Stegostoma tigrinum: one gene and its partner. The protein of the gene in region 1 interacts with the protein of each later gene in a biochemical or structural test. Links are inferred from orthologs where the notes say so. Each region holds a gene or a part of one and is shown in the gene's direction. Other genes may lie near its edges.

Region 1 (7,676 bases):
ACCCCATCCACTGCATCCTCTGGAAGGTCATTCCACACACAAACCATTCTCTCTGTAAAACCAAATTGCCCCTTGTCTCTTAAAATCCCTGGCCCTAGGGAAAAGACACTTGTCATTCACCTTATCCACATCCCTCATGATTTTATAAACTTCTAATTAAAAGGTTACCCCTCAACCGCTTACACTTCAGTGAAAAAAATCCCAGCATATCCAGCCTGTCTCCATAACTCAAACCCTCCCTCCCCAGCAACATCCGGGTAAATCTCTTCTGAACTCTCTCCAGCTTAACAATATCCTTCCTATAACAGGGCAACTGGAACTGGTCACAGTATTCCAGAAGAGGTCTCAACAATGTCCTGTACAACCTCAACATAATGTGCCAACTCCTACTCTCAAAGGTCTAAGCAATGAAGACAAGTGTGCCAAACTCCTTCTTAACAACGCTGTCTATATGGGATGCAAACTTCAAAGAACCCTGAGGTCTCTCTGTTCTACAACGCTACCCAAGGTCCCACTTTTAATTGTATAATTTTTGCTTTTGTTTTATTTACCAAAATGCAATACCTCACATTTAACCAAATTAAACTCCATCTGCCACTCTTCAGCCCATTGGCTAATTGATCATGGCTTCTTTGTTATCTTCCATAATCTTCTTCACTGTTCTGCTGCACCATCAATCTTGGTGCCATCTATGTATAGGGATATCGGGATATTAACCCTTGAGCGGAGCTGCTGTTGTGGGAAGGGAGTCATTGAGAGAAGACACCGAGTCATCGACAGGGAGAGAGAGAGAGATCAGTGGCAGTCAATCTGCACATCTCTGCTGTGTGGACATTGGCAGGGCGCACGCGGCAGAAAGTTGAGTGTGAAATGTCAGGAAACTGCATTTCAAGGATAATAGCAGCTGGGCTCGACTTTTTTCTATCAGTTATTTTAAAATAAACACAGGGTGAAAGCATTCCCGTTTGACCCAAACCCTCTGCTATATGCTTCAAATAAGCTTTCCACACCAGCAAATGTGAATTCATTCGGAGTCTAAAATTTCAATTTCACTTTGTGCTCCTGAGATGCTGCTTGGCCTGCTGTGTTCATCCAGCCTCACATTTTATTATCTTGGAATCTCCAGCATCTGCAGTTCCCATTATCTCTTCACTTTCACTTTCTGTTTCCTCTCAGTCTGGGAGTTTTCAAATAAATTTGGACCTTAGTCTCTGACAATAAGCTCCGCCCCTTAAAGTGGCAATGACAACAACACTAACGAGAAAGGCAGATTCTGGAAGTCTGAAGCAAAAGACAGAAATTGCTGGAGAAACTCAGCAGGTCGGGCATTCTGAGATAACAAAGTGTAGAGCTGGATGAACACAGCAGGCCAAGCAGCATGAGAGGAGCAGGAAGGCTGACGTTTCTGGCGTAGACCCTTCATCAGATATGGGGGAGGGGAAGGGGATTCTGAAGTAAGTAGGGAGAGAGGGGGAGGCGGATAGAAAATGGATAAAGGAGAAGATAGGTGGAGAGGAGACAGACAGGTCAAAGAGGCAGTGATGGAGCCAGTAAAGGTGAGTGTAGGTGGGGAGGTAGGGAGGAGATAGGTCAGTCCAGGGAGGACAGACAGGTCAAGGGGGCGGGATGAGGTTAGTAGGTAGAAAATGGGGGTGGGGCTTGAGGTGGGAGGAGGGGATAGGTGAGAGGAAGGACAAGTTAGGGAGGCGGGGATGAGTTGGGCTGGTTTTGGGATGCGGTGGGGGGAGGGGGGATTTTGAAGCTTGTGAAGTCCACATTGATACCATTGGGCTGCAGGGTTCCCAGTGGGATATGAGTTGCCGTTCCTGCAACCTTCGAGTAGCAACGTTGTGGCACTGCAGGAGGCCCATGATGGACATGTCATCTGCGGAATGGGAGGGGGAGTTGAAATGGTTCGCAACTGGGAGGTGCAGTTATTTAGTGTGAACCGAGTGGAGGTGTTCTGCATAGCCTCTGTGCAGAGAAAGCAGAGTTAACATTCGGAATCCAGTGTCACTTCTTCAGAAAACAACTTGTGTTGCAAATCATTGAATGCCCTGTCTCTTTTATGTACAGTGCCATGATGTGGAGGTGCCGGTGATGGACTGGGGTGGACAAGGTCAGAAATAACACGCCAAGTTGGATTATAACCTGATATCGTGTTTCTTACACTGATCTAGAACATGAATAAAACTGCAATAGCTGTTACTATGTAAACAGCGGCAGCTCAACATGCTGCACAGTTCAAAAATACTAGTTAAAATGTCTGTGCTGCAAACAGGCCAGCATTTTTAATTGTTCAGATGCATTAATATACACTTCCAGAGCAGGGGCGACTCAAGCCCAGGCCTTTTGGCTCAGAGGTAGAGACACTACCACGGCACAACAAGAAGATCTTGTGGACATAAGAGAAAGAAGTGAATTTAATATAAAATATCAACTCAGCTCATTGAATGGTTGGGGCCGTTGAAAGGACTATGTAGCCCATTCCTGCTGTAATTTCTTACATTCTTAACCTCATAAGTCAGAGTTTCTTTCAAATCTCTAGCTTACTGGTTATTAAAGTGAATTTTATTTTTCATTCTTAGTCTGGGTATACTGCTGGCTAAAACAGCATTTATTGGTTGTCCCTAATTATCCAGAGGGCAGTTAAGAGTCAACCACATCGCTGTGGGTTTGGAGTCACATGTGGGCCAGACCAGGTGAGGATGGCTGTTTCCAACCCTAAAGGACATTCGTGAACCAGAAGGTGGGGTTTTCCAACAATCAATAATGGTCATCATTAGACTTCAGCTTCGCAAGCTTTATTGCTTTCAAATGCCCCCATCTGCTATGGTTGGATTTGAACACAGTAGTTTCTCACATTTCACAAACATTCTTACATATGTTATTGCCATGTCTGGCAAATGTGAAAGCCATTTTCCACCTTCCAAGGCTGACAAGTGGAAATGATATAAACAAGCAGGTACCTGGATGATGTTACTTGAACACAGGATAATTGTCAGATCACGATGAGGACTCCTCGATTTCATGAACCATGATTTATAGACATGGCCTCAGTTTAAGTGTGTCACCTCAAGGACAATAATGCAACAATTCATGAATTGGAATATGAGCCTAGCTTGTTCCCTTCAGTGGATTTTGGTTACCCCTCCTCTTCTAAATCATGACATCTTCCAATCTCAGGGAAATAAGAACATGGGGACAGGCCATTCAGTTTTGTCAGTCTGCATCCATATTTATCCCCAGAAAGTTGCACGGTGGCTCAGTGGTTAGCACTGCTCCCTCACAGTGCCAGGGACCTGGGTTTGATTCCACCCTCAGGTGACTGTCTGTGTGGAGTTTTACATGTTCTCCCCGTGTCTGTGTGGGTTTCCTCTGGGTGCTCCTGTTTCCTCCCACAGTCCAAGGATGTGCAGGCTAGGTGGATTGGCCAGGCTAAATTGCCCGTAATGTTCAGGGATGTGTAGGTTAAGTGGATTATAGGGGGATAGGTCTGGGTGGGATTCTCTGAAGGTCAGTGTAGGCTTGTTGGGCTGAAGGGCTTACTTCCACACTGTAGGGATTCTATGATTCAAAATTGTCTCTTATTTATTTTGTAGTCTGGACCTCAGCCACCTTGTTCCTCACCCTTCATTCACCTATTCAATGTCACCTGGAATTTTAGCATGTGGCCTGATTTTAACCTGACTGCTAACCAGCCATACTGAATTGAATACAACACCACCCCCAAAAAAACTCACATTATGTCCCATTGCCTCCGATTCAAACAGATGAAAGCTCAGGCTTTCATTTCTACCTGAATCACTGTCCCTGAAGTAAAATCTACAATTTCCCAATAACGTGTGTAAAGAAGTCTCACCTGCCGATTGTTTTACAGAGGGCTTTTCATTTTGTATATAAAGGCATAGAGATGTACCGCACAGAAACAGGCCTTTTGGTCCAACTCAACCATGCTGACCAGTTAACATAAATTAACCTAGTCCCATTTGCCAGCAAATGGCCCATGTCCTTTTAAACCTTTTGTGATGAAGGGTCTAGGCCCAAAACATCAGCCTTCCTGCTCCTAAGATACTGCTTGACCTGCTGTGTTCATCCAGCTCTACACCTTGCTATCTCCGATTCTCCAGCATCTGCAGTTCCTACTATCGTTCCCCTTTTAAAACTTTCCAAAAGCCTTTTAAATGCTGTAACTGTACTAGCCTCCATCACTTCCTCTGGCAGCTCATTTCATACATGGACCACTCTCTGCTTGGAAAAGTTAGCCCTTCGGTCCCTTTTAAACCGTTCCCCTCTCACCTTAAACCTATGTCCTCAGGTTTTGGACTGCCCTGCCCTGTGAAAAAGACCTTGGCTTTTCGCCCCATCCATGCCCCTCATGACTTTATAAGCCTCTAATGCATGGACCCCTTCAGTCTAGACCCCTCATCAATTGTTGGGAACAGTCTGTTTCTAACCGGTCGGTTCCGGGTCCTGCCGTTATACGCCCCAGCCTCGTCCGGTCTGAACGAGGACGCTGTCAGGAGTTGAAATGTGTTGCCCTTTTAAAGAGATCAGAATTTGGCAGGAAGCTTTTTGTTTCCTTTCTGTTGCTCGCTCTCCCAGATCAAGCGCAGGCAGTGTCATTCAGTTGATCGGAGCAATTTGTATCGCTGCCGGACAGAAGCACCTTCCTCAGGGACAAGAGAGTAAACTAAGGTGCGTTAGCGTTCGCGATATGTTGGTATAGCCATCAAAATCCGTGTTATAGTAAAATGCTGTAGAACAGTGCCCCAGGCAATTACTGAGGATGGTAAGCTCAGGTTATCATTGCTCCACTGAAACTGACTTTACAATCTACCAGCTGACCAAAGATATATTTTTGAGTTTTCAAATTTGGAACCAGAATTTTGCCTTTACGAATGAAAGCTTCTTCCTATTGCACTGAGGCGAAAGGCAATCTGTTGTTGTAGGAGTGAGTGACTTTATTTTACAAAGAGAAACTGCCTGTTGAAATTTGGTTGTTGAGCTTCCGTGGATTTATTGGAAATGAGATAACTGGACCGTCTGCAAATTTCTTCAGTTTAACAAATGAATGAAATTGACAAATTGTTTTGCTTCCCCCCACTCCCTTTTCCCATTTTGATTGATCATTCTGACAACGTGGACGGGAAGTTACACTTGAATTTGTTGACTTTGTGATGTATGCCCGCAGAATTGTTGCAATACCGAAAGAGACCATTCGACCCATCGTGTCAAAGAAGGAAAGCGAAATAAAGTGTAAAGGGGATTTTTTTTGTTAATTCCCCGTGAGTTTTAATGAAGTTGCTGCCAACTCGCATCTGAACCCTGTATGTTCCTCTGTTAGACCTTCAAATATTAATTGTGTTGAGGTGTTGTATGTAGTGCCAGAAATACAGATTTGCTATCCGACCGCCACCAATGCTCTTCACAATATGATTGTCAACTCTGATTGGATGCATTTGAGTCGAAGATTGATTGCTGATCAAAGCAAGGCCATTCAGCCCCTAGCATCCCTGATAGCTGTCTGTCGAAGCTACGCAGGGGGTCGCTTTCCTTATTGCGCTGAAAATACCTTCTCAGCATTATTATTCAATTCCCTCTTGAAAACTATGGTCGAATTCTCCTTTATACCCTCATACAGTATGTTCCTGATCCTTGCAACATTTTAAAAATTTTAAATTTCCCTTATTTCGGCAAAGCAGCTGGCTGGGACACCTTAGAAGATTTCCATTCATCTAGCACTCTCCCCCATCTCAGGACACCCAAAAGCTCATGTTACCTTTTATGATGCCAGACCACACCACCAAATTTATATTATGATCTGTGAGGGACTAGTGACTTTTTTAAAGTTGACATAGTTTCACATCCCAGGTATTTCCCAGAGAATAATGTCATAAGATTCCATGGTTTTAAACAGATAATGATAATCTTTACTATACAATGCAATGTACATATACGCACATATAAATTATATTCTAACATCCAGAATTAACGGGAGCCAAATGTGGGTAACAAATTGTGATTGATTGCCCTACAGAGCATGTCAAATTTCAGAAGCAATAAAGACATATCCCATGGATTTCTCAGCTATCCCTCCCTCCAAAAGCTTAATGACACAATGGATCATCAAATTTAATTTTAAAAATATCACAAGTGATTTCAATTCTTCACTTTTCACAATCTGGTCTGGAAAGTCCCTTAAGACCCGTTATGTCACAGACACTTCTGTTGACTGCTATGTTTTTATATTCACCTTCCTTTGAAGGGTCTGTGCTTCTCTAGATTGTGCAAACTGCACTCCGGCACAGCATTTACTTGCAGGCATAGATCCAGCTTTTCACCACCAACTGACTTTATCAAGCTAGTACTACACTTGTGTATTATCATGAGCTCTAGTCTTGTTTGATTGCGTCATGCTAATGCTGCTTTCAGGTTTTCCAATACCAACTCTCAATGGAACTTAATCATTAATATCTTGCAGACTTCTCTAAAACCCCACATTCTCTAAGCCTTCCTTAAGTCCCAACTCAACAGATCTATCCAATGCTCTTAAAACTTCTCATTGATCGTCCTACACAGAACCAGTATAGTTCAGTTGCCTTCCAGCATTTGACTGGGGTGCTGATGGGAGGATAGAATGCACAAATCACCAGAGCCAGAATTAGAGTATGATGCATTTGCTAATCCTCATGCACTTTTCTCTTTATACAACAACTGAACATGGACTGGAGGGTTGCCATCCTAAACACCTCCATTCAGTCTGAAAGCATGACCCTCGCTTCCAATACCCTGTCATTTTAGTTCTCAGCTCTCCCTCCAACTTTGGCCACTCTTTCCCTGGCCTCCTGAACTGTTCCAATGAAGCTCAACAGAAGCTCCAGAGGCCTCATATTCTAGCTTGGGTGTTTTACAGCCTTATGAACAGGGGGTGGAGTAAAATAATGTCCGATCACGATCACTGTCCCCATTGCTTTGGACAGCAAGGTCGTAGCTCTGATTCTGATTTAACTTCCTCATATTCCTTCTGGCTTGAGTGTCACCATCTTATTTTGCCTCATACCTTTATCCCTTTTGTTACATCCTTCTAGCATCCCATCACACCCCTTTCCTCTTGTGCTTTCCTCACTACCATCTTCCACAGTTTCTGTACTTACTTAAAACCTGTTATTTCTCAAAACTTCCCAGGTCTGATTTAAAAAGTCATGGCCTGAAACATTAGCTGTGTTTCTCTCTGTACAAAACCTCGAGGGGACTTGCTGTGTACTTTCACTTTTAATTGTAGATTTTAAGCATTTGCAAGATTTTGCTTTCAGTTTAAAGGTAAGGTAACCTGGGATATGTAAAACTTATATTATTCATTCACAGGATGAGGGCATCGCTGGCTAGGCAGCATTTATTGCCCATCCCTAATAGCCCAGAGGGCAGTTATGAGTCAACCACATTGCTGTGGGTCTGGAGTCACATGTACGCCAGACTAGGTAAAGATGGAAGTTTCCTTCCCTGAAGGAGATTAGTGAGCTAGATGGGATTTTCTCCAACCATTAGCAATGGATTTAAGGTCATCATTAGACCTTTAATTCCAGATATTTGTTGAATTCAGATTCCACCATCTTCCATGGTGGGATTCAAACCCAGGTCCCCAGAACATCACCTGGGTGTCTGGATTAACAGTC
Region 2 (7,725 bases), on another chromosome or scaffold:
ATTTCTTGCCTTTCACTAGTTTAATTTCCTCTGCCAGTTAAAGAAAACTGAGTATAATCATTCATTCATATTTAAGAATGAGAATTCTAGATTTTGAAGTATGTGTACGTTTTCTCCTATTTTAGAATCATAGAATCCCTACAGTGTAGAAACAGGCTATTCGGCCCACTGAGTCTGCACCGATCATCTGAACAGCATCTTGCACAGGCCAAGCACCCTACCTTATTCCTGTAAGTCCATATCTACCATGGCTACTCCACTTAACCTGCACATCCCTGGACACTACGGACAATCTATTATGGCCAATCCACCTACACTGCACATCTTTGGACTGTGGGAGGAAACGAGAGCACCAAGTGGATACAGGCCGAACTCCACACAGAGAGTCACCCGAGTCTGGAATCAAACCTGGGTCCCCAGTGCTGTGAGTCAGCTGTACTAACTGTTGAGCCATGATGCGTTCCACATTATAGAACATAGAACATAGAACAGTACAGCACAGAACAGGCCCTTCAGCCCACAATGTTGTGCCGACCATTGATCCTCATGTATGCACCCTCAAATTTCTGTGACCATATACATGTCCAGCAGTCTCTTAAATGACCCCAATGACCTTGCTTCCACAACTGCTGCTGGCAACGCATTCCATGCTCTCACAACTCTCTGCGTAAAGAACCTGCCTCTGACATCCCCTCTATACTTTCCACCAACCAGCTTAAAACTATGACCCCTCGTGCTAGCCATTTCTGCCCTGGGAAATAGTCTCTGGCTATCAACTCTATCTATGCCTCTCATTATCTTGTATACCCCAATTAGGTCCCCTCTCCTCCTCCTTTTCTCCAATGAAAAGAGACCAAGCTCAGTCAACCTCTCTTCATAAGATAAGCCCTCCAGTCCAGGCAGCATCCTGGTAAACCTCCTCTGAACCCTCTCCAAAGCATCCACATCTTTCCTATAATAGGGCGCCCAGAACTGGACGCAGTATTCCAAGTAATTATGTATCCCTTATGTTAGACAGTTGCTAATTGTAAACTGATCATTTTAGATGCTGTATCTCCAGACCATATCCTGGACTTTTGTCAGTTATTGATATTGTTGTTCAATCATGGTTCACTATCTGATAATATAGTGGCATTTTCCCCAACGTCTGCCTTGAAATTAATGAGATGACTATTTACATAAACATTTTCTTGCTGTAAAGCTAGGTCTGGATTACTTATTCCCATAGTATTTCCCTACTATTACCTATAGCAGATGAATGTGTGACTGGAGACTTGGTGCAGGAAAGAGGGTTTTAGAATAGTTAGGCATTGGGATCATTTCTGGGGAGGTGTTGCCTGTATAAGTTGAACAGGTTACATCTGAATGAGAATGGGAATGGGACCAAAGCATTCTGTAGTCTTTATTTGTTGAAATAATCTGTTTCTATTGTTCCTGCCAAAGTTGACAGCTTAACATTGCACTCTTCTGATATTTGTCAGTTGCAGAATTTCCAGTTTGCAGGCACCAGCCATCTCCCCCATACCAAGGATGCACAATCTCTTTACACATCCATCCCCATCAGGATGGTCTTAGGGCTTTCTTACTTTTACCTGGAAAGAAGGCCTGGTCTGTCCCCATCTACCACCACCCTCCACTGCCTGGCTTACTTTGAACAACTTCTCCTTTAACTCCTCTCGCTTACTTAAGCTCAAAGGAATGGTCATGGATACCTGCTTGGTCTTCTGTTATGCCTGTCTCTTTGTGTGGTATGTGGAACATTCCTTGCTCCAGTCCTACCCCTTAACTCTTTCTCCATACTTCAATGATGTTATCAGAACTTCTTTCCTCTCTCAATTGGAATTGGAAAGGTTTACCTATTTCACTTTAACTTTTCACCCTGCTCTCACCTTCACCGACTCCCATAATTAACTGGACTATATATCCTCTCAGAGATAATAGGAACTGCAATGCTGGAGATCCCGAGATAACAAGGTGTAGAGCCGGATGAACACAGCAGGCCAAGCAGCATCTTAGGAGCAGGAAAGCTGACTTTTCGGGCCTAGTGAAGGGTCCTTCACTAGGCCCGAAACGACAGCTTTCCTGCTCCTAAGATGCTCCTTGGCCTGCTGTATTCATCCACCTCTATATATCCCCTCACCCTGCTTCCTGTAAGGACACTGTTCCTTTTTCCCAGTTTCTCCATCTCTGTCACATCTGTTCCGATGATGCCAGCTTCCATCAGGGAGAAACATGTCCACCTTTTTCCTCTACCACTATCTTAGTTGACACGGCCCTACCAACGGGATGCCACCACCAGACACATATTCCCCTCCCCTACCTTGTCAACATTTGGCAGGGACCATTCTCCCAGGACACCTTAATCCACTAATTCTCCATTCCTGACACCTTCCTACATCCTCATGGCACTGTCCCATGCAACTGCAACAGGTGCAATGCTTTCCTGCTTACTTCCTCCCTTCTCACTAACCAACTCTCCAGAGATACCTTCTAGATGAGACAGTGATTCATCAGCTATTCACTCAAACTAGTCCACTGTATTTGCTGCTCACAATGTTGTTTCCACTACACTGGGGAGGCGAAATGTATACTGGGTGATGGCTTTGTGGAACGTCTATAAAAATGACTTCAAGCTTCCTGTCACCTGCCATTTCAACGCATGACTATGTTCCTTGGCTGACATTTCTGTCTAGAGCTAGCTGCACTGCTTCAGCGAGACTCAGCACAAGCTGGAAAAACAACTTTTCATCTTCTGCTTGGGATCCCTGCAGCCTTCAGGACTCAATTTTGAGTTCAACAATTCTAGAGCCTGAACGCCCTCTCCTATGTCCTTACCCACCTTTGTGTACTAAGCCCTGTCATGACAGGGGCTGGTTTCAGCACAGACAGCCTATTTTCAACTATGCATTGCCTCCATTATCAGCTTTTCTTCTTCCCTGGCTTACTACCTACGATCCCTTTGTCCATCCAATTTTTTTTCTCTTTCTCTGTTGGATCCATCTCTACTTATCTGCTCACTTTTTCCAACGCCCATGCCCTGTAATTAGCAGAAAAATCACCTTTCCCTAACAACTTTCAGTTCTGATTAAGGGTCACCAAATGTCAACCCTGTTTTCTCTCCAGAGATGCTGCTGGCATGCTGAGTTTCCCCACATTTTTGCCTCACATTTACTGCATTATACCTACCATCATTTGTCCACTTAGACATTATCCTAGTCTCCTGTCTAATAATACGTAATTTAATCAAGCATCATGAAAACAGATTACTACAGCAAAATCATGCAGCTACTGAAAATCCGAAACAAGTACTGAAAAGCTGTTAAAAACTCAAGTTACGTCTTTTGAGAGAGACTGAGTTAACTTTTCAGAGTTAAAACTGAGTTAGCCTTTCATCACGGGGGCCATTGATGTCTCAGACATTGTTAGGTGCAAACTGGCTTCTATGGTCCCACATTATAGCAGTTACTGCACTTCATTGGTTGTAAAGCACTTTGATATGTGCTGAAAAAGCCTGTGTATAAACATGATAACAAGGTGTAGAGCAGGAAAGCTGACGTTTCGGGCCTGGACCCTTCTTTCAGAATTTAAGAAGGGTCCAGGCCCGAAACGTCAGCTTTCCTGCTCCTCTGATGCTGCTTGGCCTGCTGTGTTCATCCAGCTCTGCACTTTGTTATCTCAGATTCTCCAGCATCAACAGTTCCTACTACCCTCCATGTATAAGCAGATGTTTTGTTTTCCTTCAACATTTTCATTGTTAAATGTTTTCGAGGATTTAATAAAAACAATGCTCCGTTAACTGAGAATACCCTGGTTCTAAGTTACATTTTATCAACACGTCCTTTAATGACTCTGAGCCCTACGTTGCTTCGGAAGTATTTCTTGCTGCTTCAGGAGAACTACAGCTCCCGTCATGCCGGACGGCGCAAACGCATGCGCACTATCCTCAAATTTCCATTATGACCGGATTTTTTGTCGGTTTTTCATAAAGTTCGTTAAATTTCATCACGCACAATGGCAAGACAATTAAATGATGAACTAACCCAGGTATATATCAAAAAAAGCTTCGAGGAAGGTTGTCACTGAAATGTTTAACTTCCAACTGTCGCGGGTAAAGACTACAATTCCCAGAAGGCCGCGGAGTATCGCGGGGGGTGGGGGGCGCGTCTGGCGTCGGCGACAAACAACAACGTCAACGTCACGGACGAGGGTTGAAGAGAAGGTTCAGGAGCAGAGAGAGAGAGAGAAGGTAGAAAGGAGAGGCGGAGGAACGAGAAGGAGGAGGTCGAGGGAGAGGGAAAACTGCGAGGCAAGGGGGGTGGGAAAAAGAACTGGCTGAATTAAACAAGCGATCATTAAAGTGAGCCCCAGGGACCGGCGGAGACTCACCTCAGAGCCTGAAGAGGACAAAGTGGCGTCACCCGAGTGAAGAGAGGGGGGGAACGAATCTCCTCAGACCCACAAACACACGCACAGTTTGTCCCCCCCTTCCCTCGTCTTGTTTTCGTTGCCGTCCGAGTATACACCTCGATATCTATCATTCTTTTTGTGTGCTACCCCCTTTTTTCTCCCCCCCCATACCCCCCCCGGGCCGGGGGTTCCGTCTGTCCGTTTGCACCTGAAAAGAATTTTGTTATTTTTCTGTGTGTACGCGGCGGAGGGGTTTGGGGGGGGGGGAGCAGGGGGAAGAGTGGGGTGGAGGAGGAGGAGGTGGTGGTGGTGGTGGTTCGGAGGAAGACAGGCCCGAGAAGAGGAATTAAAGCCGCCACCTCCTCAGCAGCACCAACATGTCCTCCCCGAGTCCTGGGAAGAGGCGAATGGACACCGATGTGGTCAAACTGTATCCTTCAGAGCAGCGAGTCTCCCAGTCGGAGGGGCTTCAGCAGTTAACGCTTTTTCCTCCCTATGTTCCACATCTTCCCCCCCCCCACTCTTTGTCTCGCCTGTTATTTGTATCAAGTACGCCGTTTGTTTGCGTTGAAGGATGATATTTTTAAAAAAGTACACATTTTATATAATGTCACAAGCTTAGCCCATTAGTCGGTATTTTTTTATCCGTAAAGCATGCCCCTAAGTGTGTACACGGGCGATGGTTATGATTGGGGTTTTTTTAGGGGTTGTTAGGTCTTTGAGATATACAGTGGTTTCCATCAAAGAAAAATGACAACATTCACATGGTGACGGATGTCAAAGCTTCCTTTTTTTGGTTGAAGTTTTGTTCCTCTATCTGTTGAATATATTTTCAGGGAAAACGTTATGTTGGTTTTTTTGTATGTTACGAAATTTTGAATTTGTAGTGCTTTTATTCTAAATTTATGGCGAGTTTATAGTTCTTTACTTGATACTTATGAGGCCTTGTCTTTGTGAAAAAAACAAGCTAGCCTTTTTTTTGTGCCGTATGTCCTACGTTTGAAAGCCAGATTTCACGTTTCAGCAGATGATTTATGATTAATAGGCAGCGTCACATCGCATCAAACCTTGTTTCTGTGTTTTCAACTACAAAGGAGGTTGCGATTTGTCTGACGTGTATTTCCAGGGTACTTTTGGGCCTGTTGATCTGTCTAGGTTTATGGCGGTGGTGGGGAAGAGAAAGGAAGGAGAGATAGACGGGAGGGAATGGTGGTTGCGAAGAGGAAAAATAACTGAAGGAATTTGAATGCGGATGTTGACTGTCTTGTAAATTGAGTGACGTTTTTAATGCATCCTTACAGTTTTTGCCATATTAGCTGATAGAAGTATTACTTTTGTCTTGAATTTTTACGGTGTTGTTGAGAGGTCTTGTTTTTATTTTTGGACTGGTGAATATTTTGCTTTTTTTAAGGTTTCCTCGGGCTCGTAAAGGCATTTTTTGGTTGCTTAAAATTTATTATGGTGGAATTGAAATTTTTATATAAATGGCTGTGTCACATACGTTAATATTTAATATCTCCCCACCCCCCCCCAACCCCATTTTGGGTTGTGTTTTTTGAAGGTGCTACCTGCTGGAACTCGTTGGACAGCAACTGTTGGTCCTAATGCTAGTTGCAAAGAGCGGATTGGCTGTACTGTTACTAGCCGGAATTGAGTTGGAGGAGGAGCTTACTTAAAACACAAACACGTTCACCAGCTGACACTACAAAAGAGAGGCTACTTAGACGTCGGCGCTTTAGTTGGGTGGGGGCAAACACAGTAAACGGCCGATTACTAATCAACAGCAGTTCAGCTTCCCGTCGCTTCTAACTGTACCAGAAATTTGTCAGAACTTTATTCAGAACAAGGGAATGATGTAATCATTTGAATTAGCTTTCTTTAAGAAAAAGTTATTGCAGACTATTTGTATTTTAGAAGGTCATTAACTGGAGATTTTGTTTATCATCTTTTACACTTTTTGAACTGTTGTGTTCCTAGTGTTCACTTTTCTGATTAAAGTATTTTCATACAAGAAAGCACAGTAATCTTGTATCCTAGTTATTTATAATTTAAGGATTAGTTGGCCCCATTTATTATGTCAGTGGAAACATTTTTCGTGTATTTTGCCATGATCCCATTATGTACATTGGTAGTTTGATTTAAGATTTTTTTGCTGTTGTAGCCCAGGTGATAGAGAATACTGGTAGATATCTGGAAATAAAATCTATCAGTAGCTGCTGGGGAGTGCTAGAGATTTTTCCCCCTTATGTTTATGTCTTAGTAGCAAAAAAGGCCTATCCTGTTACTTCAGCTTGCTTCAGAAATGGTTACAACCATGTTTATAAGGTGGCTAAGTCTGCCATTTCACTCTTTCCAGCACTGATGGCAAGTTTGGTCAGAGGTGACTGCATACCGCAGAGATTTCCATTACCTTATTTGCTAAAATCACAACTAAGGTCTTATGCCAAAATTGAGTTAAATATGTGATTCTTTCATTTATTCCTTAATGGGGCAAAGGCATCACTCGTAAGTCCAGTATTTATTGGCCATCTGTGAAATCAGTGGATTGTCAGGCATGTTAGCTGGGCGTCTGGGGTCCCGTGTATGCCACAGTGAGAGAGGATGGCAGACTTGCTTAGGTAAAGGATGTTAGTGAAGCAAATGAGTTTTTATGATAATTGATAGTTTTACGGTCGCCATTGTTAACATTAGTTCCTGACACTAGATTTTACTAATTGAAGTGTGTTAATTGAATTGCTAATGTATACTATAGGACCTGATTGCAAAAGGCTGGACATACGGGAACAATTTTCCACATGGTTGTCAATCCCGTTTTGCAGATGAACTCCAGAACTAGCTGCACCCGGTATAAGTCTGCTGTACTATAGCCAGGATGTTGTCAGGGCCCAGAGTCTTTGCTGTAATCTGTACCTTTATGCCCTTCCTTGATATTACCTTTAATGCACTAGTTCATAATTGATTTCACTATGATCATCCTTGTGCCTCAGTCATGATGTCTGATTATTGGTGTCTATACTTGTTTCCAGTCAGTGGAAGGAATCTGAATGGGATAATATTAACCTTTTTTGAAGGCACATCCATCTGATTAAAATGCTGTCAAGATATTTTTCAAGTAGGGTGCCAAGCAAGTGCTGACTGAGAAATTTGATGACTGCAAAATTATTATATGGATTATGATAGCTAGGTCTATCATCGATGGCATAAAGGGAGAACAAAAACAGGAGAAGGTATTGAATGTAGACTGGAGTTTTGTTTTCATCACTGTTTGAACATGTTATACCAATCCTCCAGGAATGTCTCAATTTGAAGCGAGACTTG

Evidence for each region.
Region 2: of the proteins of uba1 (region 1) and ube2h, one has a biochemical effect on the other in vitro, tested with the Homo sapiens proteins (3 studies listed by BioGRID, with this or other methods). The link is inferred for Stegostoma tigrinum from reciprocal best matches to the Homo sapiens genes UBA1 and UBE2H.

What each region holds. Positions count from the first base shown.
Region 1 is NC_081364.1:12,925,945-12,933,620, reverse strand, and holds the start of uba1 (ubiquitin-like modifier-activating enzyme 1), read left to right. Parts: upstream 1-4,581; 5' UTR 4,582-4,698; intron 4,699-7,676. UniProt on the Homo sapiens protein: Catalyzes the first step in ubiquitin conjugation to mark cellular proteins for degradation through the ubiquitin-proteasome system.
Region 2 is NC_081378.1:16,356,990-16,364,714, reverse strand, and holds the start of ube2h (ubiquitin-conjugating enzyme E2 H), read left to right. Parts: upstream 1-4,692; 5' UTR 4,693-4,784; coding exon 4,785-4,837; intron 4,838-7,725. UniProt on the Homo sapiens protein: Accepts ubiquitin from the E1 complex and catalyzes its covalent attachment to other proteins. E2 ubiquitin conjugating enzyme that transfers ubiquitin to MAEA, a core component of the CTLH E3 ubiquitin-protein ligase complex.